4 linked regions of the Pelodiscus sinensis genome follow. The protein of the gene in region 2 interacts with the protein of the main gene of each other region in a biochemical or structural test. Links are inferred from orthologs where the notes say so. Each region holds a gene or a part of one and is shown on either strand. Other genes may lie near its edges.

What was found.
Region 1: the proteins of UBE2D1 (region 2) and NEDD4L form a complex in vitro, tested with the Homo sapiens proteins (7 studies listed by BioGRID). The link is inferred for Pelodiscus sinensis from reciprocal best matches to the Homo sapiens genes UBE2D1 and NEDD4L.
Region 3: the proteins of UBE2D1 (region 2) and UBE3C form a complex in vitro, tested with the Homo sapiens proteins (8 studies listed by BioGRID). The link is inferred for Pelodiscus sinensis from reciprocal best matches to the Homo sapiens genes UBE2D1 and UBE3C.
Region 4: the proteins of UBE2D1 (region 2) and SIAH2 form a complex in vitro, tested with the Homo sapiens proteins (3 studies listed by BioGRID). The link is inferred for Pelodiscus sinensis from reciprocal best matches to the Homo sapiens genes UBE2D1 and SIAH2.

What each region holds. Positions count from the first base shown.
Region 1 is NC_134716.1:110,161,391-110,169,509, forward strand, and holds the start of NEDD4L (E3 ubiquitin-protein ligase NEDD4-like), read right to left. Parts: upstream 3,157-8,119; 5' UTR 1,325-3,156; coding exon 155-1,324; intron 1-154. UniProt on the Homo sapiens protein: E3 ubiquitin-protein ligase that mediates the polyubiquitination of lysine and cysteine residues on target proteins and is thereby implicated in the regulation of various signaling pathways including autophagy, innate immunity or DNA repair.
Region 2 is NC_134718.1:33,639,674-33,647,063, forward strand, and holds the start of UBE2D1 (ubiquitin-conjugating enzyme E2 D1), read right to left. Parts: upstream 3,217-7,390; 5' UTR 3,053-3,216; coding exon 3,029-3,052; intron 1-3,028.
Region 3 is NC_134712.1:240,091,723-240,099,411, forward strand, and holds the start of UBE3C (ubiquitin-protein ligase E3C), read right to left. Parts: upstream 3,111-7,689; 5' UTR 2,734-3,110; coding exon 2,668-2,733; intron 1-2,667. UniProt on the Homo sapiens protein: E3 ubiquitin-protein ligase that specifically catalyzes 'Lys-29'- and 'Lys-48'-linked polyubiquitin chains.
Region 4 is NC_134720.1:26,656,337-26,664,102, forward strand, and holds the start of SIAH2 (E3 ubiquitin-protein ligase SIAH2), read right to left. Parts: upstream 3,112-7,766; 5' UTR 2,084-3,111; coding exon 1,679-2,083; intron 1-1,678. UniProt on the Homo sapiens protein: E3 ubiquitin-protein ligase that mediates ubiquitination and subsequent proteasomal degradation of target proteins.

The sequences.
Region 1 (8,119 bases), on a different chromosome or scaffold from region 2:
TAGGGATGCTTTACAGATTGTTCCAGAGAAACGTAGATCTCACCAGTATTAATGAGTGAAATTCTTCAGTGACCTAAAATTGGAAAAAGTTTTCTGTGTGGCCATTTATATTTTATTAGAACACAAAGGGAAGTATTTTCAGCATGTTACTTACCGTGGCACTGGCGGCTGTAGGCCCAGGGATATCAGGGCTCTCTTCATCAGTCATTTGATTTTGTTCTTCAGTACCACGGGTTACAAGAATTCTGAAGTGTTGCTGCCTTGTGTTTTGATCTGGTCTGATTTTAAACAAGCATCCCTGCCCTTGAGGAATCCTTTCTACTGAATTACTTCTAGATATTTCTGACCCATTTCTGCTATTTCCATGCAGTTCTGAATTCATTCTGTCTTCTACTGGGCTAATTCGTTCTGGTCGTGGCTGTACAGGGTAGGAAGTACTCCTTTCCAGCCGTATACGAGGATATCTGACCAATCTATTCCCTTTTGTTCCAGTAAAACCAAAATTATAGTCACTTCCTGTACCTGTACCACTTGCCTGCGATTGCTGCAACTGGAAAACAAATAACTTTTTCCCTGAATTTGCTGACACATCTGGCAGGTGCTGCAAGGACCAGCGCCTGGGTTCAGAGGCTGGGGAGTTATTCTGATCCTCAGAACCAAAGGGCAATAGCGTAACCTGACGCATGTCTGTGCATGAAGCGCGATGTTGAATTCTTACGCCACTTAGATTTAACCCTGAAGCTGCTTCGCTTGCTTCGTCTTCTAGGGCAGTCGTTGCCCCATCATTCCAGTTATTGGAAGGAACTGTACAAAATATTCTGTGGTTACAGGAAACAGCTCCATTAAGCTGTTCCTGAATCTCTTCAGGCATCCTGGGTGGAGAATTCTCTGGGGTTCCTTGTGGACTGCTTGGAGAAGAAGAAGGGCTGTCAACTGGGCATGTGTAATGCTCCCTGGAGTCTGTGAATTTACATGGCAGCATCTCCTCAGGAGACTCTGGGGCTCCGCACTCATCAGCACAGCCGTTCACAGCTTTGCGCTGAAGAGAGATCTGCATAGAGGAGCTCCTTGTTGGACGCACATCAATATTGTTCAGAAGCTGAGGAATAAACATGGATGTACTTCTTTTCAAGGAGCCCACTCCTTGCAAATCACCGCCACCATAATCCGCTCCATGTCGGGAGAAAGGATGGGGACTGTTTCTTCTTGGCAAAGTGTGGAATGCCATGAAAAAGTCATCTTCTCTCTCTCGGTCTAGGATCTCAGATTCAGGGGCTGTGTTGCTTCGTCCAGAGCCAAAATGAAACCGCAGCCGATGGGCCATGGTTTAACAGAGAGAAGAAAGAGAGGGAGAACAGCAACAATTCAGGCACTGCCAGAAGTTAGAAAACAAAGACAAACTCCAAGAAAAAGTGTCCCATCTGCCAAACTGTTAGTACTGCAGCACTGATAGCGACAGATAGCAGAAATAGCCCAAGTGGCAAGCAGCATTCCAGGCATGATTGGATAAGAGCAATCAGCACTCCTACACACAGTGACATAGGGTAGGATGGTTGAAATCACATGACTTGGTTCCCCCTCTCCACTGCAAGCTAGTTTTTTTTTTTTTTTTTAAATACCAGTAAGAGCCTGAAACAGCACCTTCACAGCTGCTCCTTTTCCATCAGAAAAGAGCTGCCCCCGCGGGAGAGCTCTCACAGCTGACTAAGGCAGCAAGCACACTCGGCACTGCTATAAATCTCAGCCACATCACATTCACAGGGCACTTTCGTACAAAAACTTCACTGCAACAAAAGCACTTTAAGTGTTGATAGTTCAAGTCAGCTTCACAAATGCAGATTGAGAAGAAGTGAGCTGGCTTGAGATGACAGATTCAGGCTTCCTCTGTTTTGATGCTTCAACATTAGGCTACCATGGTAGAACACAAATAAATATTAGTCCCTGGTTATGCTCTAGGGTTTTTTTTCTGGTTCTTTAAAAGATTAAGTAACAAATTATTCACTACAGAAAAATCCATAACTTTTACCTTATCACTATAAATGCAGCATAACCTATTTATACTGCATACAGAAATTTGAACAAAGAATTCTTACATATGCCAACTATTTCTCACACAATGACAGCAACAGAAATGAACAAGATGGCAAGAGACAGGATGGTTGTTTTTTTCCCCCAGTTTTATCAGGAAGCAAAGACGAACGAAAACTGAAGAAGGGTGTGCATATCATTTTGGAATTATTTTACTTAAGTGCCATACAGAAATGCTGCCCAGTGTTGGCAGCCTTCCAATGAGAGAGTCTGCAATATTACCACAAGTCTGATTGCCAGCACGGAGGATAGCTATGCTTGCAAAGAGCCAAAAGAGCTTAAAAGAAGAACATATGGGATACAACCAAAAATTTAAATAAACATCCCGATTCAGCCCTGCCACAATGCAGAATCTCAACCTTTAAAAAGGGGTTGTCATAACTGAGGTGCACTGAAGTTCTAGAAGATTTTTGCATGAATCAGAAACAAAATCTGTTTAAACAAAAAGTTTATCTACAGAAGAGACACAATTGAAATAACCTCAATTAAAAGAGTGGCAACTTGGCTCCTATGAACGGTTAAAAAAACCCCAGTTTTTTCAACAGTTCTACCCTTGTACGTGTTGGGTCAATACTACTGCTAGATACCTAAAACCACTGTTTTACAATAGCTTGTTTTCAAATACAAAAAACAACCAAGTACAAGAGAAATAAAAGCTGATTTAAACAATAAAACTGCCAAGGGCCAGTACAATCCTCTATTGTTTTAACTGGACTATGAGCCAACGACAAGAAAAACATGGGTATTTGCTACAGTAACAGCACTGTAGATTGCTTCATGCAAGCACAGGTGTTAGTATTATTTTAATACACTTTTCAAAAAACAGCATGGTTCTGGGCTATTTAAATAAACAAGTACCCTTTTTTACTAAATACGCAACTTGCAACCACAGTCTAGTCTAGTGTGACAAACCTACTGCAATCTAACAACTCACTGATGGTTTAGGAACAAGATGAACTCGTAAGAAATTATTCTGGGGGCAAATCTTAGTAATTGTAAGCTTACATTTGTATTTATGCTTGGAATTAAAAAAAAGACACACAAATTAACTGTTTTGGCCCCTAAAAATATAGTCATGCTACAGAAAATAGTCTTAGAGTACTCAGTTCAATACTCCCTCAATCTACACGTTAGTATGAGATATAAAGGCAATTACCACTTCTCAGATGTCATTGTGTGGTAATGGTTGAAAAATGTCTTTTTAACAACCACCACTGTATTGTCACATACTAGCTTGCTTGTGCACACTACTACCCTCTGCTGGTTCACATATAACTTATTCAAATTTTTTGACGTCCCACTCTGCCAGCTGGCCTGAAAAGAGGAAAAGAAACTTAAAACTAGAAAGAGTTATTCAAGATTCCCTACAAGTGGAGGCCTGTAATTCTGAAATAGAATAATAAATCCATATGAAGGCACTGAAATGATCAGTGTGCTTAGAGGCATTTAATGGGGGTTGAAATGGAATAATCTATTTCCTCACATCATTAGATGAGAGAACCTCTATATTCTCCCCCCTGAAAAAAGGTTACCTAAAAAAGTTTCTATCTTTTTCCTTGCATTACATAAATATTTGCTTTGATGGAACTGAAAGAAAAGAAAGTTGACAAAAAGATAGTCAATCTATCATATATATATATGGCATATTTTGTCCCAGTATATTAAGCAAGTTTGGTAGACACATACTGCACTTTATATAATCTAAAAGAATCAAATATTTTGTGATATAGCACCACATCTTGTTATAATACTGTTAATAAATATAGTGCTAGTGGGTCACTATTCCATTAATACTGCTTTTAAAAACTTTCTTCAAACTACTTTCATAAATTACAATTACATTGATGCCTTACATCAACTATACCTAAAATCAAACCATATTTTTGCCTAGCCATCTAGTTAACCGTACAAAAATAACAAATAAAGCAGTAATTACAGTATCCCTTCCCTAAATATCTCAGCTGCATAATTTTGTTTCAAGAGGAGTGCTATAAATATTCAGCTTGTAAAATACCTACGTTTCCTGCTTTATATACCTCACTTTACCTTACTTATTTTACATATTTAAACCACTGAAACAAAAAATACGTTTTATTTAAGGTATACCAATTTTCCAAAAACTAAGATTCAGGAGCTATGTTACTTCCAAGTTTAGTTGAGTGATTAGTAAAATACACACAACTGGGACTAGAGTAGTACACTCACCAATCTGTTTTCATCAAACACTTCAAACAGGAGTCTATGATTAGTTGGGTTTACCTATAAAAAAAAAAAAAGTGTTACTTCATGCTCATTTCCTTCACAACATAAACCATTGATGGGTACAGTAGTTTGCTAAATGCGGGTTGACAGGCCTTGAATATAACTTAACTTTACCTACTGTGTAAATACCCATTTAAAATTCTAAATCTATAACTAGAAATATTCTGGTTTTCAATACTATGTTTTTACTTAGTTATTAATAGAGCACCTCTTATTCTACATCCCTGTTCCTTGAGAAAGCTCCCAACAGAAAGATGTTTTATGGAGGTCACTCACCAAGAGACCCAACCTGACAGAATCAGAATCTGTGGTTGATGGCTCTTGGTGAGTAGCATGTGAATGTTAAACTAGTTAATCAGAGGGGGCTGGAGCAGCTTCCTGCCTGCCACAGACAGGGAGTTGCTCTAGCCCCACAATGGCAAGCCCACAGCAGACAGGGGCTGCCTCTGTCCACAGCAGGTAGCCTTCACCCAGGGGCTGCTCCAGCCTGACATGTGATTTCCAGAGGAGCCTGCAGTGGGGAGGGTGAGGTGAGGGCTGCTCCAACCCAGCAGCAGGCATGGTGGGCACTCCAGCTAGACAGGAGCTGCCCTGCCACCCCCTCTTAATTTGGTTAACCAGTTAAACAATATGTTTAACCAGGTTAACCAATTAAATAGGATTTTACATCTCTACTGGTGACCAAGGTGTCAGACTGCTGGGTTATAGGGTCTTTCTTGGTATTGAAATTTCAGAGCTGAAGTGTGATACAGGAACTAGAATTTTTAAAAGAATAGTCTCCTTTTTATTGATTCTAAACATACTACTTAGAATTATGCAGCACCTCTATTTTTCACCCTCTGCCTACACCCAGTCTGCCACTGTTCCTACCCATTTTACAAATGACACTTGAGAAACACTGTGGATGAGATGAGAAATCATACTGAGAAATGAGTACACCTTCAGGATATTGTTTCCACAGACAGATGCTGAATTACATGAATCCCCTCAAAACAATGAATGTCAAGGAGGCAACAAGGCCACCATCGAATAAAGGCAGGTTTCTATGGTAGTTAATCCAGGTTCGTATACTTTTCAGGAAAGTGTAAGACAGGTGGCTAAGCCCAGTCCTCTATTTGAGGCAACACAGAGAATATATTCCTTAATAGGCAGACACTTATGTGGGTTTATTGACAGAGGGAAATCCCAAACTGAACTAGCACAAAGAGTGTGATCCCTCCAGTAGAGGAGTACACACAAGTACTAGTATGTGTCTTTCTGGGTAGGATTTTCATGAGTTTTTATAGCACTGCAGGGTTCCGTTTACATGTTCTAAGTAACAAGAGTTCTCATGGTCTGACTATGTCTTCATTCCAGGAAGAAGTATAAGGCGACCATGAAAAATATCAACAGATTCCATGAATACGGTAAATGTGTAGCACATATCCAATTTGCTGCAAATCCTGAATGCACACCAAAAGAAGAGCACTCAATTGCATGAGCTGTGCCTTCCAAACTGCTCTGCAACTCAACACTGTATAAAAATGGAGTTTTCCACCTGTCCAGTGTGGAATCAGTTCTGAGTTATTGCTGAATAATATCTGAAACAGCAGAGAGCCAAAAGCACTTATTTTGCTGGGGATAGCACGTAGCTGCACAAAGGTTTAAATTGACTAAAGGAAAGCATGCTGGTGTTTATAGACATTAATGAGCTGGAACTGCTAGAAAGGTATGAAGGTTATTTAAGGGCAGGTCTACACTAGAAGTGTTGCACTGATGCAGCTGTAGGGCATCCAATGAAGAAACTATGCTGCTGGGAGAGTGCTCTCTGGTTAGCATAAATATTCCCCCCCTGTGAGAGGTGGAAGCTATGTCAGTGGGAGAACATCTCCCACTGACACAGTGCCAGCAGCAACACTTGGACAGTGCTTAGGTGACTTAAACTTACATCACACACAGGGCGGGATCTTTTTAATACCCCGAGTGGCACAGGTTAAATTGACGTAAGTGGTAGCATAGACCGGCTGTAAAGCTTTGCCTATATTGACACAAAGTTGTTGTCTTATTGGCGGTGAGTTAACTAAGACGTGATAGGTGTCTGATTGCAAAACTCTACGTGGAGTCTAGGCAATTATAGTTTGCACACGGAGGCAAAGTAGATGAGGTCAACAATCTCCTCTTCCTCACTACCCTGCGACTGACCTCACCTAGTTTATCTTGTGTTGAAAACTTCAGTGCTGTCCCTCCAAGGGATTGCATGCAGTAAATACATAGCAGAGACAAGACACCACAAGGTAAATTAGGTCAGGTCAAGTCACAGGGCTGTGAAGGGGAGAATAGTATTGACTTTACCTTTACCTTGTGGTAGAAACCACTTTTTTAAAAAAAAAAATCAGTGAAAACAGAGCCGAAAATGTCTTCTTCCCCTCCAGAGTTAAGGTTGTTTGGGTGCCCTGATATTTGGATTCCTTTGAAGTTAATTTTTAAACACAGTATTTCCTAGGCGTTGGGTGTTTGGTAACTAGAACCATTTGGTAAGTTACTGATGTGTACTCAACATTACATTTAGCAAAGTAGGTTAACTGGGAATAAATACTAACCATACAACTGGTAACATGTGGTTCTAACAATGCCCAAACATTTTAGTGTGCCGCTTGTTTCTAAGACTTTTTTTCTGGAATCTTTAACAGGGTATCCTAAGAATCACTAACCATCTACATAAGAATGCCAAGCTTAATGTGTTTACATGTAACATGACCAGATGAATGTTCTACCAATGAAAAGCTTGCACACATTGCATCTTGTTGTGACTGAAATGGAAAAAGCTGGGGCCCGTCATACTGAGTTTAGTGCCAAGACAATTCCTAGTGATAGAAATGTAGCCGTGTTAGTCTGGTGTAGCTGAAACAAAATACAGAACTATGTAGCACTTTAAAGACTAACAAGATGGTTTATTAGATGATGAGCTTTCGTGGGCCAGACCCACTTCCTCAGATCAAATAGTGGAAGAAAATAGTCACAACCATATATACCAAAGGATACAATTAAAAAAATGAACACATATGAAAAGGACAAATCAAATTTCAGAACAGGAGGGGGATGCGGGGGGTAAAGGGAGGAAGGTAAATGTCTGTGAGCTAATGGTATTAAGAGGTGATAATTGGGGAAGCTATCTTTGTAATGGGTAAGATAGTTAGCGTCTTTGTTGAGACCGACGCGTAGAGTGTGGAATTTCAGCATGAATGACAGTTCAGAGGATTCCCTTTCAAGTGCAGTTTAAAAAGGCTTCTGCAGCAGGATGCAGGTAATTAAGTCATTGAGACAGTGTCCTTTCTGGTTGAAATGGCAAGAAACTGTTTTTTCTTTGTGATCCTGTCTAATATCTGTTTTGTGGGCATTGATCCTTGGGCGAAGTGTCTGAGACGTTTGTCCAATGTACAAAGCAGACGGACACTTTCGGCACATGATAGCATAAATTATATTTCTGGATGCCTAGAGATTCTGCAGTACTCAAAAGAAGTTCCTTGTGTATTATATTAGAGGACTCAAAATAGGTACCTCTGGACAGACTATTTTAGGGAGAAAAATCTACTAGATTTCACGGTGTAAAAAGCTATTTCAGTGGAATTGAGATTTTAAAGTATTTACAATCTCCCCAAATTAAATAAACAAATATTCTGTTGTAAATTACCAAATCAGCATAATAGACTACATCTAAAATGAATTTTGAATGGATACGACCATTTTAACAATATTCACTGCCCATCCCTGTTCTGAAACAGCTGTTCTA
Region 2 (7,390 bases):
CAACAGTAAGTTTGATCAATCTCTGATATTAATGACAAATTAAAGATTCAGATATCTACACACATCCCATTTCCTTGATTGTCAGGGCCTAAAGCTAGGAAAACTGAAAGGGTTTTCCTCCTGCAACTCCTTCCCCTTAAACAAACCAAAAATACCATACATTTTTGCTTATTTTGCTGACATAAAAATCATGCCTTAACCCATCTTTTCTAGGTACAGAATTCCTATCAGATGTCCAGGTTGTACCTTTCAAGTGATAAAGTTGCCAGAGAGAAACATGCTCTGCAGGAAGATCACAACAAGATACCCTGAATTTGAGATGTAAAAATGTATAAAATTAGTAAACATGTAACCAATCAGAAGTCTATTGATTACACGGTTAAATGGGTTATCTAGGAATGTAAGGATAGGGAGGGAAGACTCCCAGGCTATGGGCCGCTGGCCTTGCAGATCCCTCCCAGAATTCAACTGTTAACAGGAATTGACACACTGATGCTTATCAGTTAAACTCTCATATCCCCACCCTAGCTGATAATTAGGAACATCTGTGTTAGTAGCAGATGCATTTCCATTGCAACAGTTTCAGACCTAAGGTGGCATGTAAATGGTGTATTATTCATTATTATAATTTGTATTATCAAATTGCCTAGGAGTCTCAGTCATGGACCAGGACCCCATTGTGAAAGGCACTGTACAAAGGAGCATAATCAAAAAAGACTGTAAAATCTTTGGGGGCAAGACAATCAAAGTTCTGGTCTATGCTTAAAAGTTAGGTCAATATAACTGTAGTGCTCACAGGTGTGAAAAATTCTGTCACTCAAGAGAGTTGGAGATCTTACATTGATGGAAAAAAACCCTTCCATTGCTCTAAGAAGCATCTACACTACAATGCTACACAACAAAGCAATGCACGGTAAACTGTGCTACTGTCATAACTGTAACCTGGACACAAGCTACATAAGATAGGCCCTTACTTCGACTACCAGCCCTTGGACAAAGTATGCAACATTAGGGAGGAAATGATCAACTAAAGTAAAATACAATCTGCTTTACTGAGCAGACCCAATGCGATAGAAAAGCAAACAGATTTAGGAGAGCAATTGTTAGCAATCAGGGGAACAAGATGAATTAAACCAAAGTCTCTCTGACATTAACACAAAACACTGATCCCGTTGAGAAGCAACATGATCTTCTGGCGGTTAAGTGTTGAGAAACATGAACTCTCAAATTCTAATCTCAGCTCCTCCACTGATCTGCTATGGAACCTACCAATAACTGGCCAGACCAGAATTAATGCAGTTTTGGAAGTGGCATTGAACACAGTTTTTCTTTGATTACATATCAACTCAACTACATTCAGCATCAGTCTAGTTTTATTTCTATTGTTGACACTTGCTGTCAGTATCACACAGTATTTCCCTTATATAGCCTAGGATGTGAAAATATAACCGTGTAAATGGTTAACTGATAAACCTGGGCTCATTGGTTAACATTCACTGTTACATAACAAAGTGGGTCTTTGCCCACAAAAGCTTATGCTCCAATACATCTATTAGTCTTTAAAGCGCTACAGGACTCTGTCGCTGTTACATGCAGGTTCCCATCCTGCTCCTGGGGAGCCAACTGCTTTCTTGCGAGTCGGCTTTTAAGAGGCAGCAGTGCAGAGGCAGCTGCTGGATCCCATCCACAGCCCCACTCCCAGGGTGTGTCTAGACTACATAGCTCCATCGACAAAGCCATGTAAAGTAGTTTACTCAATAGTCAATGAAGCAGGGATTTAAACAATCCCCATTTCATTAAAATAAAAATGGCCACCGCGCGGTGATAAAGTGAAACGAGGCATACCAGAGCAATCAACAAAGGCTTCCCTTGTCCACCGCGCCATGTCTAGACTGCCATGTTGTGCCGGATCAGCTGATTGTCAGCACAGCGTGGTGGCCATTTTTATTTTAATGACGCGGGGATTATTTAAATCCCTGCTTCATTGACTATATCGAGTAAACTACTTCACATGGCTTCATCAACGGAGCTATTTAGTCTAGATACAACCCCAGAGAGCCAGCTGCTGCCTCTTAAAAGCCTACTCCCAGTGCACACCACCTCCCAAGGAACCACCTGACTCCCCAGGAGTGGGATGGGAACCCACATGTAACCGTGAATATTAACCAATGAGTCCAGGCTTATTGGTTAACTGTTTACATGGTTATACTTTCTAGTCGCTAGCCAATACAAGAGGAATACTGTGTAGTACTGAAGGCAGATGTCAGTATCAGAGGCAGCAATACAAGGTGGTAGCTGGCTCCCCAAGGAGCTGAGTGGCAGGCAAGAGCCAGTGCATGCCCCATACACGGTTACTTGCAACTGCAGTAACTGCTGAGATTTTCAGCTGTTAAATGTTTATCCAATTACCTTCTTTTTAACATCCCTAGTATAGGCAAGCCTCCTCTTGGTGCCTCAGTTTCTCCCACTGTAAGGTAACTGCAACTCTGCCCACCTCACTTGGGCCTTGTGAAGGTTAGTGTATGCACAAGGTTATACTTTATCCAGACTGTTATGCAGCTGCACAGCACCATTCCGACAGGGTTCTACAGGCAATCCTCCTCCAACCCACAGACTGGCACTCCTTTTCCACGGGGTAAGAGGAACAAAGAACAGTCTCCCAGAAGCAACAAACCATCAATATCCCCATTGGTATGAGCAAAGACACGAGAACCTCATTACTCCGAGGAGGAGAAACACAGCCAAGATTTCACACCCACTGCTCTACCCTCCGACACCGGCACCACAAAGTTCTCGCTGCCCATTGAGCCTCTCTTCCCCTGCAATCCCCCTCTCCCCTGCCATCAGCTTCCCTTCTAGTGGGGCCTCCCTTCCCCCAGCGCCCCTCTGCCTGCACGTCTCCTCTCCCCCGGCCGCTCCCGAGCCCCCCGGCCGCACAGCTCCTTCCTCAGCGGCCTCCCCCGGCCGCGCTCCCCCCGGGGACCCCAGGCCCGGCTCCCCCGGCAGGGCCCGGCGCGGCCGCTCTTACTTTCTGTATCCGCTTCAGCGCCATGGCGGAGACACGCTCCGGCTCGGGGCTCTGCGAGGCGGCGGCGGGCGGCTGCTCCCCGGCTGGGTGCGCGCAGTCGCTCCGGGCGGGGGCCGGGCTCTCGCAGGGCGTCAGGGGCCGAGGCCGGATCCGCTTGGCTCTCACTCGCTGGCTCTTTTGTTTCCGCTTTTACTTATAGACAGAGCCCGGAGCCCGCTGCATGCTGGGAAATGCAGTCCCGGGCGGGAGGAGGCGCAGCGCCCCCTGCAGTCAGGCCGCGGAGCCAGCAGGCCTAGGGAGCCAGCTGACTGCCCGAAGGCAGAAGTGGCAATTGCTGGCTGCTGCAAGACGCTACAGCAGGGCTACTCAACTTTGGAGGCCACAGGGACAACGTTGGAAGCCCCTCAAGCTACATGCTGAGGGCCACAACTTCAGTGTGGTTGCATGCATATTCAAATATATGCAAATAGTTTCTTTCACACTGACAGGCATCAATACAAAGACTAAGGCAAGATTACAGAACACACAGGCCCATTTAAGTCAGTTCTGCTGATATTAATAAAATGCAATATTTACTCGATTTCCACCCATATGACAGCACTTTTAGGGTACATCTACACTGCACTGTTATTCTGGAATAACAGCTGTTATTCCAGAAAAACAATACTAACATCCACACATCAACTGGGTTATTTTGAAAGAAAATCAAAATAAAGGAAGGCTTTTTCTGACGTTGGCAAACCTCATTCCATGAGGAATAAGGCATCTTCCAAAAAAGCTCTTTCAGAAGAGGGTTTATGTGGATGCTTCAGTGCTGCTATGTCGAAATAACTCCTCACCAGGGCCATTCTAAGTTTTTCCTCCCCAGTGCCTTCTGGGGCTCTAAACTGAGACAGCGCATCCACATTAGGGGAGCCTGCCTGCCTTGGCCTAATTTGGAGGCTTCCCTGTAGTATGGACACTTTATTTCAAAATAAGCTATTCTGGAAGATATTTTCTATAATAGCTTTTTTCTGAAATAAGCTTGCAATGTAGACATACCCTTAATGAGCAATGACAGTCTAGGAATTTAACTACTAAAATGCATATCAACAGAAGACCATTTATTGACTTGCCATTGTGGAGCATGTTCCCAGTGGATGCCATGTTCAAAGGATCCCACCCATGGGCTGCGTGATGAGCCCTGTGTAAACCCAAACCGCACTGCAGGCCACATGTTGAGTAGCCCTGCCCTTCAGCCTGAGATCAGAGGTTAATGAAAGTAACTTAATATTTCTTACAGGTACTGTCATGTGGCATTCCCTTGGGGAGGGGTGTGATCAAGCTAGGAGGTTGCGATACAATGGTATCTGAATGAAATGTAAGTGTAGAGGTGGAGTGCAGAGAGCTCAGGGCAGAGTTTCTGATATAGGAGACTCAGACAAAGCCTCCTGCTGCTTCCATTGGCCAGATTCCAGCCAATGGGAGCAGCGGGGAAAGCCTCCAGGAAGCATGTCCATGCTCTGATGTTCCCGCAGCCAGGGAAAGGAAAGCGCAATGCACGCAGCTGCTTCTGGCTCTGCTTCTTCCCCACGAGCTTGATCTGGCAGGGAGGCTTCGGGCTTTCTTTCCCCCTCCTCCTGCAGGAAGATGGCACTGGAGATTCAGTCTTGCGGTGGGGAGGGGGGAACATGAGGTTGGAGTTGCCAGCGTGAACTCTCTGCTGTGAGGAGGAGGGGCTGAGCTCCAGCAGCAAAAGAGCCTTATGTGGCTCCCTACTGAGCAATATTTGGCTAAGGAGGAGGTTGCCAACCTCTGGTTTACAAGGTTGGGGGTGGTTGAGGAAGGGCTCAGAGCAGGGGGTTGTGGTTGTGGTGGGTGAAGGAGTCAGGGTTGTGGGTGTAAGAAGGGGCTCAGGACAGGTGAGGTATGTATGTGCAGGGGTATTGCGGGGGTCGGAGGAGACATAAGCCAGTCCCTTTAATCTGCCTAGCTGACTGCTGCTTAGTGTGGCAGCCTACAGGAGAGCCCCAGGATCTAGTCTAGTAGTCAAGTGCCCCAGCCCACCATCTCCTTCATAACGGAGCAGGGCATAGAAATGCATCATCTTAACTACCTCTGCCTGGGATTAAAGCAAGGGGTAAATTCAAAAGTAGAGATACCTCTACTCCATGATCATTTCTCCACCATAAATAGATATGTGAAAGGATGCAAAGGGCATATAACCTTAAACCCATGGTCACCAACCCGTCAATCGCAATCAACTGGTTGATCCCGGAGGCTTGACCTGTTGATCGCGAGGCTTTGGGGTCCCCCCTCGCTATCACCCTACCCCCAAGATGCAGGCCACACTGATGCTACTTCCAGGGACCATGGAGGTAGCGCGGGCTTCCTGCGGGGTTGGGGGGCAGTTCTTCAGTTGCGCACCAGGTCCTGGAAGTGCTGCTCTCCCCACTGCCCCAACAGCCGACGTGGTACCTAAAATACAAGTCCATCGTGCGCTGGGGACTTTGTTCCCCTGGTGCCTTCCTGCGCATGGGGGAGGGGGTGGGAATCCAGGACTGCGCTGGCTCCGGCTGCTCAGGCGGTGTGCGCTGCTGTGCAGAGCAGGGGAGCAAGGTGTGTGCTGCCCAAGGAGTTGGGGCTGGCGCAGTCTGGGACTCCCCCTCTCCCCATGAAGAAAGTCATCAGGTGTGCAATGGACCAGCGTGTCAGGTACCGCACCGCTGTTTGGGAGATGGGGGAACAACCTGCGCACTTTCTGGGCCTTGGCATGCAGCTGCAGGATCCTCAGGTATCGGTCCCTGTCCCCTCCTTCTCACCCAGACCCGCACGAATACCCTGCCCCAGCACCCACAAGCACCCTGTCCCCTGCACCAGTACCCATTGGTACCCTTCCCCAGAACCCTGTCCCAGCACCCACAAGCACCCTGTCCTCTACCCCAGCACCCATTGGCATCCTGCCCCAGAACCCACTGGAACCCTGTCCCCTGCCCCAGCACCCATTAACATCCTGCCCTGGCACCCTGTCCCAGCACCCACAAGCACCCTGCCCCAGAACGCTGTCCCGGTACCCACAAATACAGTTGGGGCCACATTAGTGAGGTTTGAGGGGTTTGGAGGGGTTGTGTTTTTGTATCTCATTGTATGGTCCTGACTGACTTTTCTGTGGGCCAGTGACCCCTGACTCAAAACAGGTTACCCACCCTTCTCATAAATAAAGACAATGCTGAAACCTTTTGTGTTTGACATAATATTTTATTTAAAAATGAAGCCTGGCCAACAAGCCCCCAGTTGGGGCCAAGTCCTCATTTGGCCACAGCATCATAACACTCCTGTACCCCCCACCCGACTCCAAATCTGAGCCTATCATACACTGGAACCTCCTGTCCTGAGCGCCTCACATTCCCAAACTCCTGCACCTCCACATCCTCAATCTTCTGCCACAACACTCTTGCACCATACACACACTGCAAATCTGTGTCCTGAGCCCATCATACTCCTAGCCTCTCTGCCCTGAGTCCTCAACCCTAACTCCTGCACCCTCACATCCACAAGCTTGTGGCTTGCTCAGCACCCCAACTCTCCACCTGAGCCAGCACTCCCCAGCCTGGAGCCCCCTTTCTGAGCCAACATCCCCTTCTCCACATCCTCCTGCATCCAAATTCCGTCCCAAAGCTTGCACCTCTCACTCTTTCCCATACCTAAATCCCTCATGCACACCCTAGAACCTGCACTTCCTGTCTCAACACAGTGAGGGTATGGCTAGACTGCAGGAGTTTTTCCGGAAAACACGCTCTTTTGGCAGCCCCTGTATTCCTCGTTCCACAAAGAATGAGGGGGTTTCCAAAAGAAGGGGGTTTTCCGACATTTGGCCCAGTCTAGATAGGTCAAATGTTGGAAAAATTTCTTCTTTCTTTTTTTTACTGCCGAAAAAAAGCGACAGTGTAGCCGTAACCTGGGAGTGTAAAAGGGTCATGGATAGCAAGTGATGGAGAGAAGGGGAACAGAGAGGGCTGGGCCTCAAGGAAAGGGGAGGGGTTTGGGGAAGGGACGGGGTAGATCTTGGCTTGTCCTGACATTTAAAAAGTTATCTTGGGTGTAGAAAGGTTGGTGACCACTGCCTTAAACCTTATCATGCTCCCACCAAACATATTGGGTACTTAAGTTGCATTTTTTCCCTGTCTTCTTAATTATGGAACTTTACTCAAAAATTCCAAATGGACCTCCCAGATGTTCCAGTGGCAATATTTCAGAAGTGTCCTTTTTGTAGACATAACTAAACAAGACTATAGCCATGCAACGACCAAGCTGCATTGATTTTAACACTGCCACAATATGAACCTACCAAAGTAGCAATGCAAGCATACTGCTATTCTTTCA
Region 3 (7,689 bases), on a different chromosome or scaffold from region 2:
ATTCCTAGTGTGGCACACTTTTGCTCCAATATGTTTATGTCAGTAGATGGTCTCAGAGGGGTAATCGCGTCTGTAAAAACAATGAGGAATCCTGTGGCATCTTAAAGACTAACAGATTTATTTGGCATAAGCTTTCATGGATCAAAACCACTTCATCAGATGCACGTGACTATGCTAGTATAGTTTATGAACCTAGACTACAAGTGTTTTGCTACTTTGGCTATACAGGAGGCCCCCAACTTGCAACGCAATTGGTTCTGGGGGAAGCACTGCAAGACGGGGGTGTCGTAACTTGATCCTCATTTACAATAGGCACCATGTGCCATCGTAAATGTGGGCCAAAGACGTAAGTTGGGCGGTTCCAGCCCCTTCCACACTTGCAAAAATGGTTGTAAGTGCAGGGGTCAGAACTCAGGCGGTCGCAAGTCTGGGGCCTCCTGTACCAACATAACTATACCAGCAAAATATCCCTTGAACATCTTAATTTTAAAACTAGACAGTCTGTATACATAAACAGTACCATTTATTTGAGCTCAAATCCTGCAATTGTATCAATCATGCACCCATACACAGCTTGGCTGGACTTCAATGGAGCTCTGCACTGGTGCCAGGCTGCCTGGGTACTAACTTTTGCAGGATTAGAGCTTTTAACTGATTTTTTTTTTAAAGTACTTGGGGATGGGATAGTTTATGCCAAAGAATAGTTCAAATTTTCAGAAAGAGTTGAGACAAGAAACTGATTTTGGATTTTGTACAGCTGGAACCCATTAGTATTGGGGAAATTACCCACAAAAATCTATTACGTAGTATCAGAAAAAATAGCAAAATGCACAATTCCTAAACTCCATGAAAATATTTGCCAAACTAATATATCTACTATAGCATGTCATGTTATGCAGAAAGTGTGATAATCTATATTTTTCATGTGACATGACAAATTTTAATATTAACTTCACCAAATCCTGTACTTTTTTAAAAACACGCATCTATATTAGAGCCTCCTATGGTGCCCATATTCATATTGAAAACTGTGAGTAACTTTACTTGATTAGACCCACTGATAACACAAGCACTAAATAGATCTATAAGGTCAGATACTTGCACAAAAGTGGAGCTACTTAAGTCAATTACACCCACCCATCTAGATCAGATTGCAGAAGTGGTGTGGGTATGGGACAGAGTTGTATACTCAATCTCGGCTTTCACATTTCCTTAATTTTTGAACATTTATCCTGGCAAATTTACCCATATAGGAATTTAAACTTTGTGTGTGTTAATTTAGAATATATGAGAACAATATTATTCTAATCCACCATGATTAAAAATCCAATTGCAATTTGCATAAACTAGAGAAAATAATAACAGTATTAGAAGATTATATACTTTTTTCTCTTTCTGGAGCAGGAAAAATTCTTTTAGCAATCATAATGCGATGCCAAGGGATGTAAAATACCTAAAATACATTCCTGAAGAGCAGGGCATGCTCTGCCAATTACCACTATTACCTATTAAGATTTATTCTACTTTTGGCATACAAAAAACATAATGTCATGTATGTGGTCTAATGACCATAAATGGCTTTTAGTCATCAGAGATGTCAAAAGAAGGTAGTTTCTCCATAATTCAAGTGAATAGTTACACACACTTAATACAGTTATGATGTACATTTTCTTTATGAAAATATGCAGCAGACAATACTGTGATAGTAAATTCACAGTGAACTTTTCTATCAGGTAACAAGTTTCTCTTATTAGGAGAGACTTAAAAGCTTACTGCCAAACCTGGAGTCCCAAAACAACAAACACTTTCCCAAATCTTTATTTGTTGAACAATAAAACAAATACACTACACCAACGCTCAAACAGCTAACCCCATTATAATGATCATGACAGTCAGAACTTGAATCTAACTGATTAACCAGGGATGCACACCTCATCAATCAAACTGCTTCCAAAAACTTTGTTTTGGAATTTGGTCTGAGAATTCTGTGGCTGACAAAAGTTACTTATAGTCTTTCCAACCAGCAAGCCTTAACTAAACCATTTAACGTCCTTTTAGGCAATACTCTAGTAAAACAACATCATCTACTGACTGCTCCTTACTCAGCACATGACACACTGATTTCAGTTTGCCATTTGAATGCAAACTCGGTGGTGAAAGGGGTAAAATCGGGACCTGACAACCCTAAACCATTTGTGATGGAGGCCCCTGGAGCTTCCATTAAGTTTTACAAGCATTTCCGTCCCCCATGATTGGCGCATGATTTTTGTTGTGTGTTTCAATTAAGTCTTTTCTTTAAAAGACACGACAGACATTCTTAACTATTTCCCTTCACTCAAAGCGCCCTAGAAACTATCTGCTCCAAGCGTGGTTCCCACAACAAACCGGATCACTTGGAGGGGCGGAGGAGGGGGAGTCAAAGAGGAGTAGTGTAATTTCTCTCGCATACTTGTGAATGCACCTGGAGCTTTGAGGGGTGCGTGGCCTGATTTAAAACACAAAAACACACCCTCTCTGGGAGTGGGGACAGGTTTTGTTGGCCCCGAGGAGCCCTGAGTCACACCTGCTCCATTTGAAGGCCCAGCAGCGGGGCGCAAAAAGCAAAGCAGGCAGGCGAGGGACATCAGCCAGGATACAGAATTCAGAGAGACCCAGCGCGGCTCTTACCTTCCTACTTGCTCCTCCAAGAGACACCTTGGGCCTGGTTTTGAAATCCCCTTCGAAGCTGAACATGGTTACAGCTTATCCCATCGAGAGCGGCGTCCCCGCTGCCTCCCAGGCTGACGCTGCACCGGGGCCGCGAGCGGGGCTGGGGAATGGGCAGCCGCTGCCCGCCCAGGGGAGGCACCAGCCCGGCCACCCCAGTGCCACCTTCGCTGCTGCCTCCTGCGGCGATCGCCGGGCGACCCCCGGCCGGGAGGGGCTGCTCTCCCCACACACACACCCACTCGCTCCCTCGCTTCCCTAAGCCCCCCCTCTCGGACCACCAGCTACTGCTCCGGGCGGGGGGAGGGGGCTGGCGCGGCTGCTTCACTTGCACTACGAATCAGCCGGCTCCGGAGAGAAGATGGCCGCCGACCAGCTCCCTCTGCGCGTTCCCGCGTCCCAGCCAATCGGCGCGCGGCCCCGCCGCAGCCGCCCGGAACGCGCGCGGGCTGCCTGCAGCGCGCGCCCGGCCCCCTGGAGCTCGTCAGAGGCCCAGCCTCAGGGCGCTGGTGGCCGTGCCGCCCCGCGTCGGTGGCGCAGCCCCTCGGCACCCGCCAGCCGTGGCCACGGCCCGGGAGCGGGGATGAGCACCGTGAAGGAGCCTGTGCTCTAAGCAGGGCCCTTCCTGGCCTCAAATCCACCCCGCCGAGCCCTTTGCCCCTTCAGCACAGCAGCGCTGTAGGCAGGCCCGCTCAGAGAACGACAGAGGGCTGGGCCACTTTGAGTTCAGCGGCGCCTGCCCAGCGCCCTGACCTAACTTCTCATCCACAGGGTCATACTAAGGGGACTACACTAAAACCCAAAGACTATATGAAAACGAACACTTGAGACGTGTTTATTAACAAGACCATGTATATTAAAAATGTAACTTTAAGTGTGAGTTTCCACTGCCAGCAAAACTCTTCATTTTAGCAATGCTTTTTCTGGCTTTGTTGGGTGCACACTTGTTTATATTTGAAGAAAAATCTAATGTATGTGCAACCTCACCTTTTATGTTAAGCATGGCGAGCCCACTCAAATGCTCTTGTCCCATTGTAGAACCATAGTTCTTCACTTGTTTTAACATGTTGACTGTGCATTCAGCCATTGATGCAGGAAGACTGACAAAAATAGGTAATGCAATTGTGATACTAAGAAATACAGTCGACAGGCCAAGATCGAATATTTCTGGAAGCAGTTTTTGGCTTGCAGTCTGATTTAAAGTAAGCGGAATGTATATGTTTCAGGAAGACGGTCTTGTGTCAGAGCTTTCTTGACATTTCATTGTACATTTCTTGAGACTGCTCTGCTGCTGAATATAGATCTTCATCACTTAGTTCTCTGAACTCCCAAAGGAATCTAAAAAAGGTACAAATTTGTAGTAGTGACTCAAATAGACGTGTAAGACCAGATTTGATGGAGTCAATAATAAAAAAAAAATGACTCAATAGTGCCTTTATGCATCAAATTGAGATGTTAGGGTGTGATTGGTGGAAAACTCAGATGAAATGTCAATATCCCATGCTACTGATTTGGACTCAAAGGATTGCATTCCATTGATCACAAATCTCTTGAATATCTGTAAGAAGTCATTCAGTGCTATCCCTCTCAACATCTAATGTAGCATTGCGTGCTTCAATTACAAGATTAGTTTCATGGATCATTTGTAGCAGCTTCATCCATATGGATGACATTAAAATGCATTCAGATTTGGATATATACTTCTCTGCTGACATAAACTCAGTGCAAGCCTGTTCTGTGAGAGTAAAAGATTCAATCTGCTTTAGAATTTCCCAATTTTGAGGACTGCTACTGGAAGAGGTTGTAAAACTGTTGGATTGTTCCAAAGTATGTGATTGCTTCCTTGCATGATTCAGAGCAATCAATGCCGATAAGATTTAGTGCGTGGTTGCCACAACTGGAGAAAATTCAGTTTGGATTTTGCTCAAGAAGGACTGCTTGTCCTCCATTGTACTTCCCAGTCATATTGGATCCATTGTCATAGTCTTGGCCAATGCAGACTTGAAAATGGAATTTGAAGCCTTCCAGAATTTCTAATACATGAGCAGCGATTTATTTTCCAGTTTTTTTGTGAAATTATCAAACAAAATGAATTGTTCTTCAATTGAAACCTTTGAACTTTCTGAAGTTTTAACAAATTGAACAACCAAGGTCATCTGTTCTTTATAAAAACAGTTTGGAGTTGCATCAATAATAATTTAAAAGTATTTCGCATGTCATATTTCTTCAAGAATTGTTGTTTGCACAAATGTTCCACACAGCTTAATAAACTCATTTTGTATTCTAGTAGACAGAAAATGGACTTGCATGCATTTTCCGCTCTCTTGTGATTCACGAACACGCATAACATGGCCTGATAAAAGTGGGTCATATTTGCTAAGAATCTCAAGTAGACCAAGTAAGTTTCCGTTTGTAGGGTTACCCATACAATGACTGGAATCAAACAAAGCCAATCCCCATTCAGAAAGAAAAAGAATGACATTCAAAACCAGCTCAAGGAGTTTTTTCTATTTATCATTTTCTGTATCATCTCCCTTCGGAAGAGTTTTTGTCAGCAAATGAGTGGGAAAAGCATGATTTTCAGCATCTTTCGGTATACAACTTGGAATCTGAAAACAATTAACTTAGAGAAATGACTGCATTTGAGCAAAAATGCAAGAAGTCCAATATCAGGTTCTGATGCCGCTGTTGTTATACTATGTCCTGTGCTAGTCATAAGTTCTTGCTTTTGCTTCATAACATCTCCAAGGTTCTCATTTTCTGCCTGTACAGTCTCTAAATCGACGCAGATTCTGCATCTCTCGCTACCATTTACTCATTTTGAGTTATTATTTACTCATTTTGAGGTAGCGGCATTGAATTGTCATTTGTGGGTACAAAGTTTTCATCATCAGAACTGGAAGTGTCATTGTCAGTATATTAGATGATGAGCTTTCGTGGGCCAGACCCACTTCCTCAGATCAAATAGTGGAAGAAAGTAGTCACAACCATATATACCAAAGGATACAATTAAAAAAATGAACAAATATGAAAAGGACAAATCACATTGCAGAACAGGAAGGGGATGCAGGGGAGGGGAGGGAAGGAAGGAAGGTAAGTGTCTGTGAATTGATGATATTAGAGGTAGGGAGAGTGGGATGTTTGTGAGTTAATGGTATTAGAGGTGATAATTGGGGAAACTATCTTGGTAATGGGTGAGATAGTTCAAGTGTTTGTTGAGTCCTTTTTGGAAAGTGTCGAATTTTAACATGAATGACAGTTCAGAGGATTCCCTTTCAAGTGCAGATGTAAAAGGTCTTTGTAGCAGAATGCAGGTGGTTAAGTCATTGAGAGAGTGTCCTTTCTGGTTAAAATGGCACCTACAACCCCCAACTTAAACCTGTCCAACACATTATCAATAAACTACAGCCTATACTGGAACAGGATACCATACTCAAAGAGGCTCTGGGAGACAGACCCATAGTCTCCTATAGACAACCACCTAACCTCAAGATGATTCTTACCAACCACCACAGGACATACCACACTAATACCAACCCTGGTACCTTCCCTTGCAACAAACCCCGTTGCCAGCTTTGTCCACATATTCATTCTGCTGATACCATTATTGGACCTAACCAAGTGAGTTATAAGATCAAGAACACATATTCCTGCGCATCCAGAAATATAATCTATGCTATCATGTGCCGAAAGTGTCCGTCTGCTATGTACATTGGACAAACATCTCAGACACTTCGCCAAAGGATTAATGCCCACAAAACAGATATCAGACAAGATCACAAAGAAAAAACAGTTTCTTGCCATTTTAACCAGAAAGGACACTCTCTCAATGACTTAACCACCTGCATTCTGCTACAAAGACCTTTTACATCTGCACTTGAAAGGGAATCCTCTGAACTGTCATTCATGTTAAAATTCGACACTTTCCAAAAAGGACTCAACAAACACTTGAACTATCTCACCGATTACCAAGATAGTTTCCCCAATTATCACCTCTAATACCATTAACTCACAAACATCCCGCTCTCCCTACCTCTAATATCATCAATTCACAGACACTTACCTTCCTTCCTTCCCCCCCCCCCCCCCCCCCGCATCCCCTTCCTGTTCTGCAATGTGATTTGTCCTTTTCATATTTGTTCATTTTTTTAATTGTATCCTTTGGTATATATGGTTGTGACTACTTTCTTCCACTATTTGATCTGAGGAAGTGGGTCTGGCCCACGAAAGCTCATCTAATAAACCATCTTGTTAGTCTTTAAAGTGCTACATTGTCCTGCATTTTGCTTCAGCTACCCCAGACTAACACGGCTACATTTCTATCACCATTGTCAGTATAGTTTGTCTAATGATTGAGGAGTCTTTTCTACAAGAAATTATGCTATTGGCATTAAACTCTTAACTGCCGTTTCACTTTTGCTTTCGCCATGTCTTACTTGCACCACTTTCAAATCTTTGCTTCATTTTTATAAAGGGGTTCTTTTAAAACGTAGTAATACATAGTACATTAATTTGCCAAAGGCTATTGGTTATAAAGTTTTAATTTTATATATTTTGCAATGAATATTATGTAGCAGCTGTTTGGGGGTGTTATTTATTATGGTCCTTATAGCCTTATTTCAAAGTCTTGAATATGTTCCCATTATTAAATTCCTCTAATAACAGGTGCATTATTATGAATATAAACATGGGGCGATTGCCTGATTAGATGTAAAGTCTATTAAACAACTAGAATTAAAAGTTTATTATCACAAAAAAGCCTTTAAAGGTGAATCTAAAACTGGACAAAGAGGTAGTTTACAGCTGAGCCTGATATGGTTATTGTATACGAAGACACATAAAAAAAACAGGAATATGAAAATCTCCTATGCATAGATAAACATCTAATTTACAGGTTAAAGTCACCTTCACACCAAGCAAAATCATTTTACAGTAACAGAATTAATTATGACTTTCGCAAAGACTGTAAACAGCGTTTGATAA
Region 4 (7,766 bases), on a different chromosome or scaffold from region 2:
TTATAAAACGAGTATGTAAAACAAACTGAAGTTGTAAGGACAAACTGCAGAACACAGGGCATACATGGGTGGTGGAAAATGAGCAGCTTAAATTATGGCCTCCTGTCACTTTTTTTCAAACAGAAGGAAAATATTTTCACTCTAAGCACCAATTCCAGTCAAGCCTCTCAATTTAAGACAAAGGAGTACAACAGCCCATTCCACTTATTATGTTTCATTCCCTATTGCCCCACTTCTTCAAGTAGGTGTGAGTGATAATATGAATTCTTAAGCTTGTGTGGAGTCAAACTGCAGGATCTGGGCTTGTTTGTAAATATCAAAGTTCTGCTAGGGGTAGCAAGAATCTGTATAATCCACCTTGTATGCTTATTTCCGTAAGGACATATTTTAAGATAATTCACACAATCTACTTTAAATCAACAACCACAACAAAGGAAATCAAAGCTCTTGAATTCAGATTAAGCTTTTCTAAATATTCTTTGTAGTTTATTGGGGTGGGAGAAGTAATCAACACTTCATTTAAAAAGGCACTCTCAATTTGAAATCTAACCTGTTATAAACAGCAGATTCTGATACTTTATCTGTTCCTGATTCCCTTAGTCTATCACATTTCCTATTATTTAAATATATGTTTTCTGCCCTTAATTATTATGAGAGAGACACCCACCCAAACTACACAGACCATGCCAGGGAAAAGATGTGAAATTGATTAAATACCAAGTAATTGGTACAAAGTAAGCAGACTGAAAATGGAAGGACAGATTTATTTTCTTTAATCTGATGGAATTATAATAGTGTTCTAAATAACAGACAGAACACATTTAGTTATCATGACTTTTAAAATATATTGTGTCCCTCTTAGTCATCAAATTAAATTGCAAGCATGAAGAATAATGCATTAAGATGGTCTAAACACTTTGCAATGTGAAAAACGATCTATTCAAGAATCTAAGTGATATTACTTTTAACAATTAGATGTTTATGTAACATTTTAATAGTTGATTGTTTTAAAAGCCTTAATGGTGTAGTTACACATAATACCACTGTGTACCGGCAGGGCTATCACACAGGATTAAGACAAGACAGCGGCACTTAATTTGTAAACAAGAGTCAAGCTGTGGGTATCTTTAAGACAAAGAGCAGGATATATATTCTTTGTACTCTTAATACTCTTGGGGAAAGGAACTGTGCTCCCAGCAGGAGGCCAAATGTCTGCTGACAGGGCTGGGAGTAGAAGCCCCCGCCCGTGTTTCTGCTGGAAAGGGGTGATCAGCTGTTACTGGGGTTACTTGGGCACATATTGCTGTGGGAGCGAAAGGGGGCAGGGAATTGTTTAGAAGCCATATATATAACTAGGACACGAGCCTCCCTCTGGTATGGCTGGAAGGTGCAGAATGTTCCTGTTGACTGGAATCTGGAAAGGAGAAGCAAAACTTTCACAATCCGGCCCTCTGCAAAATTCTGCGATTCGTTGAGAGGGCAGGTCCCCATCTCAGTAGTGACCCAGAGGGAAAGGGCTCCCTATGGCAGCTCTTAGAGGAGCCTTTGCTTTGTGGCTCTACAGAAATGACAGCAGCATTCCGGTCCGGGGATGAATAAGGCACAAGGACTAGCTCCATCCAGTCACCCCCCGGACCGTGTCGGCCGGAGCAGAAAGGGACTTGGAAGAGCCTCTTACCTTGCAGGGGAAGAGGACAGCTGAAGCCACTTTCTCCATGGCCAGGTTCCTGATGCTTGGGGTCAGGGATCCCCTGCACGTGGGGCAGCAGCTCAGTTTCTGCCGGCATTGATTGCACACCAGATGCCCGGCCTGGCACTGCAGGATCGGGGGCAGCACATAGTCGAAGCAGACGGGACACTCGAACAACGAGGTCAGCTCGTGGTGCTGAGGCGAGACCGGCCCGCCGCCGCCGCCTCCTCCGGGGCCTGAGATCACAGCGGCCGCAGCGGGGAGCGCGGAGGAGCCGGGGCCGGCAGCCGAGATGGTGGCGGCGGCAGCAGGGGCAGCAGCGGGGGACGGGGCGTGCTGCTGCTTGCCGCAGGGTTTGTTAGCGCTGGGTCCGGCGGAGGACGGGCGGCTCATCGCGGTCCGAGCCAACCATGGAACTGCGGGCACCCGGGTGGCCACTCACCGAACCCCGCAGGCGGGACCCGCGCAACGAACCGGCTCCGCTCTCAACAGCGGGCCGCCGCCAGCAGCCGACCGGGCGCCGCGAACGTTCCAAAGTGTATCGGCGTTCCAGAGAGATGTCCCGGCGTTCCGAGGGGCGCTCCGGCCACCAGCCCGACAGGGGCCCCGGCAGCCGCCGCGTTTCCCGGGCCGAGCGCGCCACGCGCGGATCCTCAGCGCACAGTCTGCAACATTGATCTGACGCAAGCGAGAGAGGCAGGAAGAGGGTGTAGCGCCGAAGCCTGCTCCCCGGCGGGTTCTGCTCGCAGTGCCTGGCTCTTACTGAGCATGCCCCAGCCAGCTAGTACTGTCCCTAGTCTACTCTCGGATCAGCCCAGCCAAGGGAGAGGAGACACGGGGGTCTATTTGAAGACACGGGAGGGTGGGCGGGCTAGCCGCTGGGGAAGTGCGGTAGAGTAGCAGGAGCAGAGGAGGAAGGCATTTGCTGACACTCCACTGGGGGAGGCAGGCCTACACGCTGGCGACTCTGACGTATAAAAGCCCCTTTCCACTGCCCGGGGGTGGTGGGGTGAGGGCCGTCTCTGCGGGACTGCTAACATGGCTGGCGTAAGCCCGTGCGGGAAACGCTACAGACAGACCCAGCAAGCACCGAGTTTGCACCAAGGGAGCTGTGGTCTGTTACGCAGCCACCATCCTCACAGCACTTCGCGGGAATAAAAGGTGGTGAAGGTGCTGCCCCGCGGCGGCGGGTGAGGTTCACCGGGGGGACTAGTTGCGGCCCACGGTGGCAGGCTGAGCTACAGAGTTTTGGCACTGCACAATTGTGGTAGTTACTCCAAACACTGTCCTGGGCTGCGGGAGCGAGGATACACCGAGGCTGTGGGGGTGCACCTAGTCCAACAGTAGATATTTTACATGTCAAAAAAACCCCCAAACTGCACTTGATACACGAGCACTGTGTGTGCGTGAGAGATTGCTAAGGGCCGCACGTTGTGGGAGAGGAGACCTACCTCACTTATTTTTAGGTGAAATGCGGTTGTTTGCAATTCAGCACCTCCACTCGTGTGTGACTCATCAACTGGAGGCTTGATGTAAAATCCACCTCTTGCGGGAGTGCACACTGCATACGTAGGTGGAGGGGGTGGGTCGTGCTTCCCATGCACTCCTTGTTCTAAGAGATGATGACTGTGTGGCATATGGCTTTAGAGGACAAAGCCTACATCTGGCGGGGGTTAGACTGGATGACCTTTGCAGTCCCTTTCTAACCTTATCGTCCTGTTGGTTTTGTGACTCTGTCTGCTGGAATTGCAAGTATGTGTATAAAGAAAGGGTGTTGGGCACCCTGGTATATTTTAAACTTTTAAAATTAATCTCAAATCATGTTACACAAGTCTTCTATAATTAGCAATCACACTATATATTCTAACTTTAGGTGGACACATAACATAATCACTTCAAAAACTTCTTTGGCAGATTTTAAGAGAATGCAAAAGCCCTCTGAATTTTACAGGGTTTTTTTGTGGTTCACATCAGGGATGTGACTGTTTTGCAAACACTAAAGCATATACATAATTTTGACACTTAATACCTTCATTAAAGTTATGCACATGTTGCCTAAGAATTTGCAGAACAAGGGCAAAAACAAATGTAATTATCCAATGGTTCTTCCTTTGCTGAGGTGAAAGCTGGAGGACTGCTTGTTCTGTCCAACCAGCGAACATACAGTTGACTCTGACATTACTGAATCTGCATGACAGAAGACTGCCTAATTAAATTACCTATATTTTATTTGATTGAATCTTGTTTACACAGCATCCTTTCAGAGCATATCTCCTCTCATTACAATGTGATCAAAGGATTCTAAAGGAACATAATTCTTAAGTATCCCCTGGCCTATTGACTGTTGTTATCCTGGAATAGGGACATTAAATTTCATTTAATCATCTAATCATCTAAGTTGATGGATTTTGCATTGATTAGTCCAGGCCTACTCAACACACGGCCCACTTTTTTGCAGCCCACATTGTGATTTGCGTTTACACGGGGCTCAACATGCGGCCAGCAGGTGGGTGCCAAAACAAAAAAGTAGTCATTAGACTGGTCTTTTGTTGATATGTGTTTTAGTAGTTAAATTCCTGCACTGTCATTGCTCATTATAAGTGCTGTCATAGGGGTGGAAATTGGGTAAATATTGCATTGTATTAATATCAGTAGAACTAACTTAAATGGGGCCTGCATGTTATGTAGTCTTACCTTAATCTTTGTATTCATGCGGTCAGAGTGAAAGAAGCTATTTGCATATATTTGCATATATATTTGCATGTACATGCAACCACACTTAAGTTGCAGCCCTTGGCATGTGCTGTGAGTATCAATGTGGCACCCGGGGCTTCCAAAGTTGAGTAGCCCTGGACTAGTTGATTAGTTGATAAGTAGGAGAGCTGCAGTGGGGTTTGCTCCTGGCTTTTTAAATGTATTAAGAGCCCCACTACCCCCTGCCTTCCCTGCCCTGCCCTTACCCCCCCCCCCCCCGGAGATGGTACTGGGAGAACCAGCTTTTAAGCCAGCTCCCCCCAGCACTGGCTCCTGCTCCCCCACTGCCTCTGATACAGGCAGCAAAGGAGGGGGGAAGTAAATAGTGGAGGGGCTAGTCTACTATCTGATAAGCTTTTGCTTATCAGATAGTGGACTCTTACATCCCTATCCTGGAACTCTGCGTAAACACCTAAAAGCACTTGGCCACAGTAATACTGAAAAGAACAAAATGCATCCTTGGCGCTTTTTAGAAAATGACTTTTGCTGATGTTTTTGGATTGTCTCAGCATTTCCCTGTCTACAAGCCAAAGCTCTGATCCCATTATTTTGAGAGCTGCAAACTCCTGCATTTCCTCAGTATCAATTTAGCCATTGCAGCTTTACCTTATATTTTATACTCTCACCATGTAATGCATCAACTGATAATGAACAGGTCTCTTACAGTCCAGTTCTATAAGACAATAGTGCAGTCCCTGGCAGGATAGTGGAAGAGTAGGTTTATACACTCTGCAGTGCCATACCAGAATGAAAAACTGTAGTACTGCATTGCCTGTAGTATGGAACACTCTGTGACACCACTCAGAAAATAGAGTAGGCAGTGCGTTACTGTGATTTTGGTGCTTGAAATTAAATTGTTTCTATAAAATCCATTATCAGGAATGGATGCAGCAAAAAATGCCAGCATGTATAAATGAGTAAAAAATACAGCAAATGGGGATGTAACCCAAACTTCAGTGGGATTATTCATGTGTAAATATAAACAGGATTGTTACATTAGTGTTTGCAGTGTTGAGGCCTGTTTCATTAAATCTAAAATGAATTAATGACAACAAAGTGTTTTGTGATGATGCTGGAATGTTTTGTTATTTTGCTTTATATTTCATATTTTCCTATATACAGTAGTGCTTGAAAATCAGAAAGTGGAACTGATTTGATTGCTTTTATTGTCCAAGCTAAGTGGAGTTAGAAAATCAAATTTGACATTTTCAAAATCCCTTCTGATTACAGAAATGAGGAAACATTGGTTATGAGGAAAAAATAATCTTACAGCGTCTCTTTAAAATTTGAGTGAAATAGAGGATAAAAGAGGGAATGATTTTGATTATAAATTTCAGAGGGGTAGCTCAGTTAGTCTGTAACTGGAAAAACTTAAAAAACAACAAATAGTCTTGCAGCACTTTAAGAACACAACAGAGACTAGGGATACTATTCCTTACCCAACCTAGGTAATAACCTTCACAACCTCCTTAGGCAAGGAGTTCCACAGGCTGACTGTGCGCTATGTGAAGAAGAACTTCCTTTTATTTGTTTTAAACCTGCTGCCCATTAATTTCATTTGGTAGCCCCTAGTTCTTATATTATGAGAACAAGTAAATAACTTTTCTTTATTCCTCTTTTCCAAGCTGAGAAGTCCTAGTCTCCTCATATGGGACTTGTTTCAAACCCCTAATCATTTTAGTTGCCCTTCTCTGAATTTTTTCTAATGCCAGACTTTTCTAAAATAGTATTACAGCACCTTAAAAACTAACAAAACATGTAGATGATATCATACACCCTCATGGGCACTACCCACGACCGATGAAACTGAAGAAGTAGGTTGTACCCTTGAAAGCTCATGACACCATCTACCTGTTTTGTTAGTTTTTAAGGTGCTGCAAGACTATTTGCTGTTTTTTTTTTAAGTTTTTCCATTTGCTTATAGTTAGTAAAGAGTCAAACTTAAGGTTGGGTCTGCTTGTCTTTTTGTTTGATGACCATGTGTAAAGGTTATAAACAAGGCTGAACTACTTGCTGTGTACAAGTGCCCATGCTTATCGTAACCTTGCCTAAGGAGGTTGTGAAGGCTATTACCCAGGTTGGGTAAGGAATAGTATCCCTAGTCTCTGTTATGTTCTTAAAGTGCTGCAAGACTATTTGTTGTTTTTTAACCATCTGTTAGTCTTGAAGGAGTGGTAGAACTTGTGTGCCTTTCCTTGTCAGCAGAATGAGTGAATTGTGCTTACACACATTAGTTTCCAAAGAGGAGTTGTAACGTGTGTGTGTGTGTGTGTGTGTGTGTGTGTGTGTGTGTGTGTGTGTGTATTACCCTCATTTATTAAAAAAAAACCAAATTTGTACGTGTATTAAGTTTTGTGATGTTTAAATGCTTTTCTGTGAAATCATGCCTAGTTAGTTTATAAATTGAAAAGTCTGTGTTGTGACACTGCTGTAGCTGCAGACTATCAACCATGTAAAACCATAGAGCTGTGTCTAGACTGGCAAGTTTTTCCGCAAAATCATCTGCTTTTGCGGAAAAACTTGACAGCTGTTTACACTGGCCGCTTGAATTTCCGCAAAAGCACTGATGATCTCATGTAAGATTGTCAGTGCTTTTGCGGAAATACTATGCTGCTCCCGTTCGGGCAAAAGTCTTTTTCCGAAAAACTTTTGCGCAAAAGGGCCAGTGTAGACAGCAGAGATTTGTTTTCCACAAAAAAGCCCTGATTGGGAAAATGGCAATCGGGGCTTTTTTGCAGAAAAGCGTGTCTAGATTGGCCACAGACGCTTTTCCACAAAAAGTGCTTTTCCGCAAAAGCGTCCTGCCAATCTAGATGCTCTTTTCCGAAAATGCTTTTAACGGAAAACTTTTCCATTAAAAGCATTTCCGGAAAATCATGCCAGTGTAGACGTAGCCAAGATGTATAGAGCAACTTCTGTGCACACACAGCCAGTAACTCTGAAATGTTTTTAGCAGGCCTTGATAGTCAGGTGTGATACCTTAGGACTGCTAGGGCTAAAATTGAATTAAGCTATGAAACTTCAGCTACGTCAGTGGTGTAGCTTAAATCGAAATAGCTTTTTTAGGCTTTTGGAACTGTTTACACAGCAGGAAGTTGAAGGAAGAACAGCCTTCTTTCAACTTCCCTTAATCCTCATGAAATGAGGGTTACTGCGGTTGGAGTAAAAAGTCCTCTAGCTCAACATTATTCAGAAATAAAGGCTTGTTCTGTAGACCTACACTGTGTTATTTTGGAATAACGTCAGTTACTCCCAAGTAACTCTGCGGTGTAGATGTCCTCCTAGAGATGAATATGCCAATGGATTACACTAGGTAGGATTT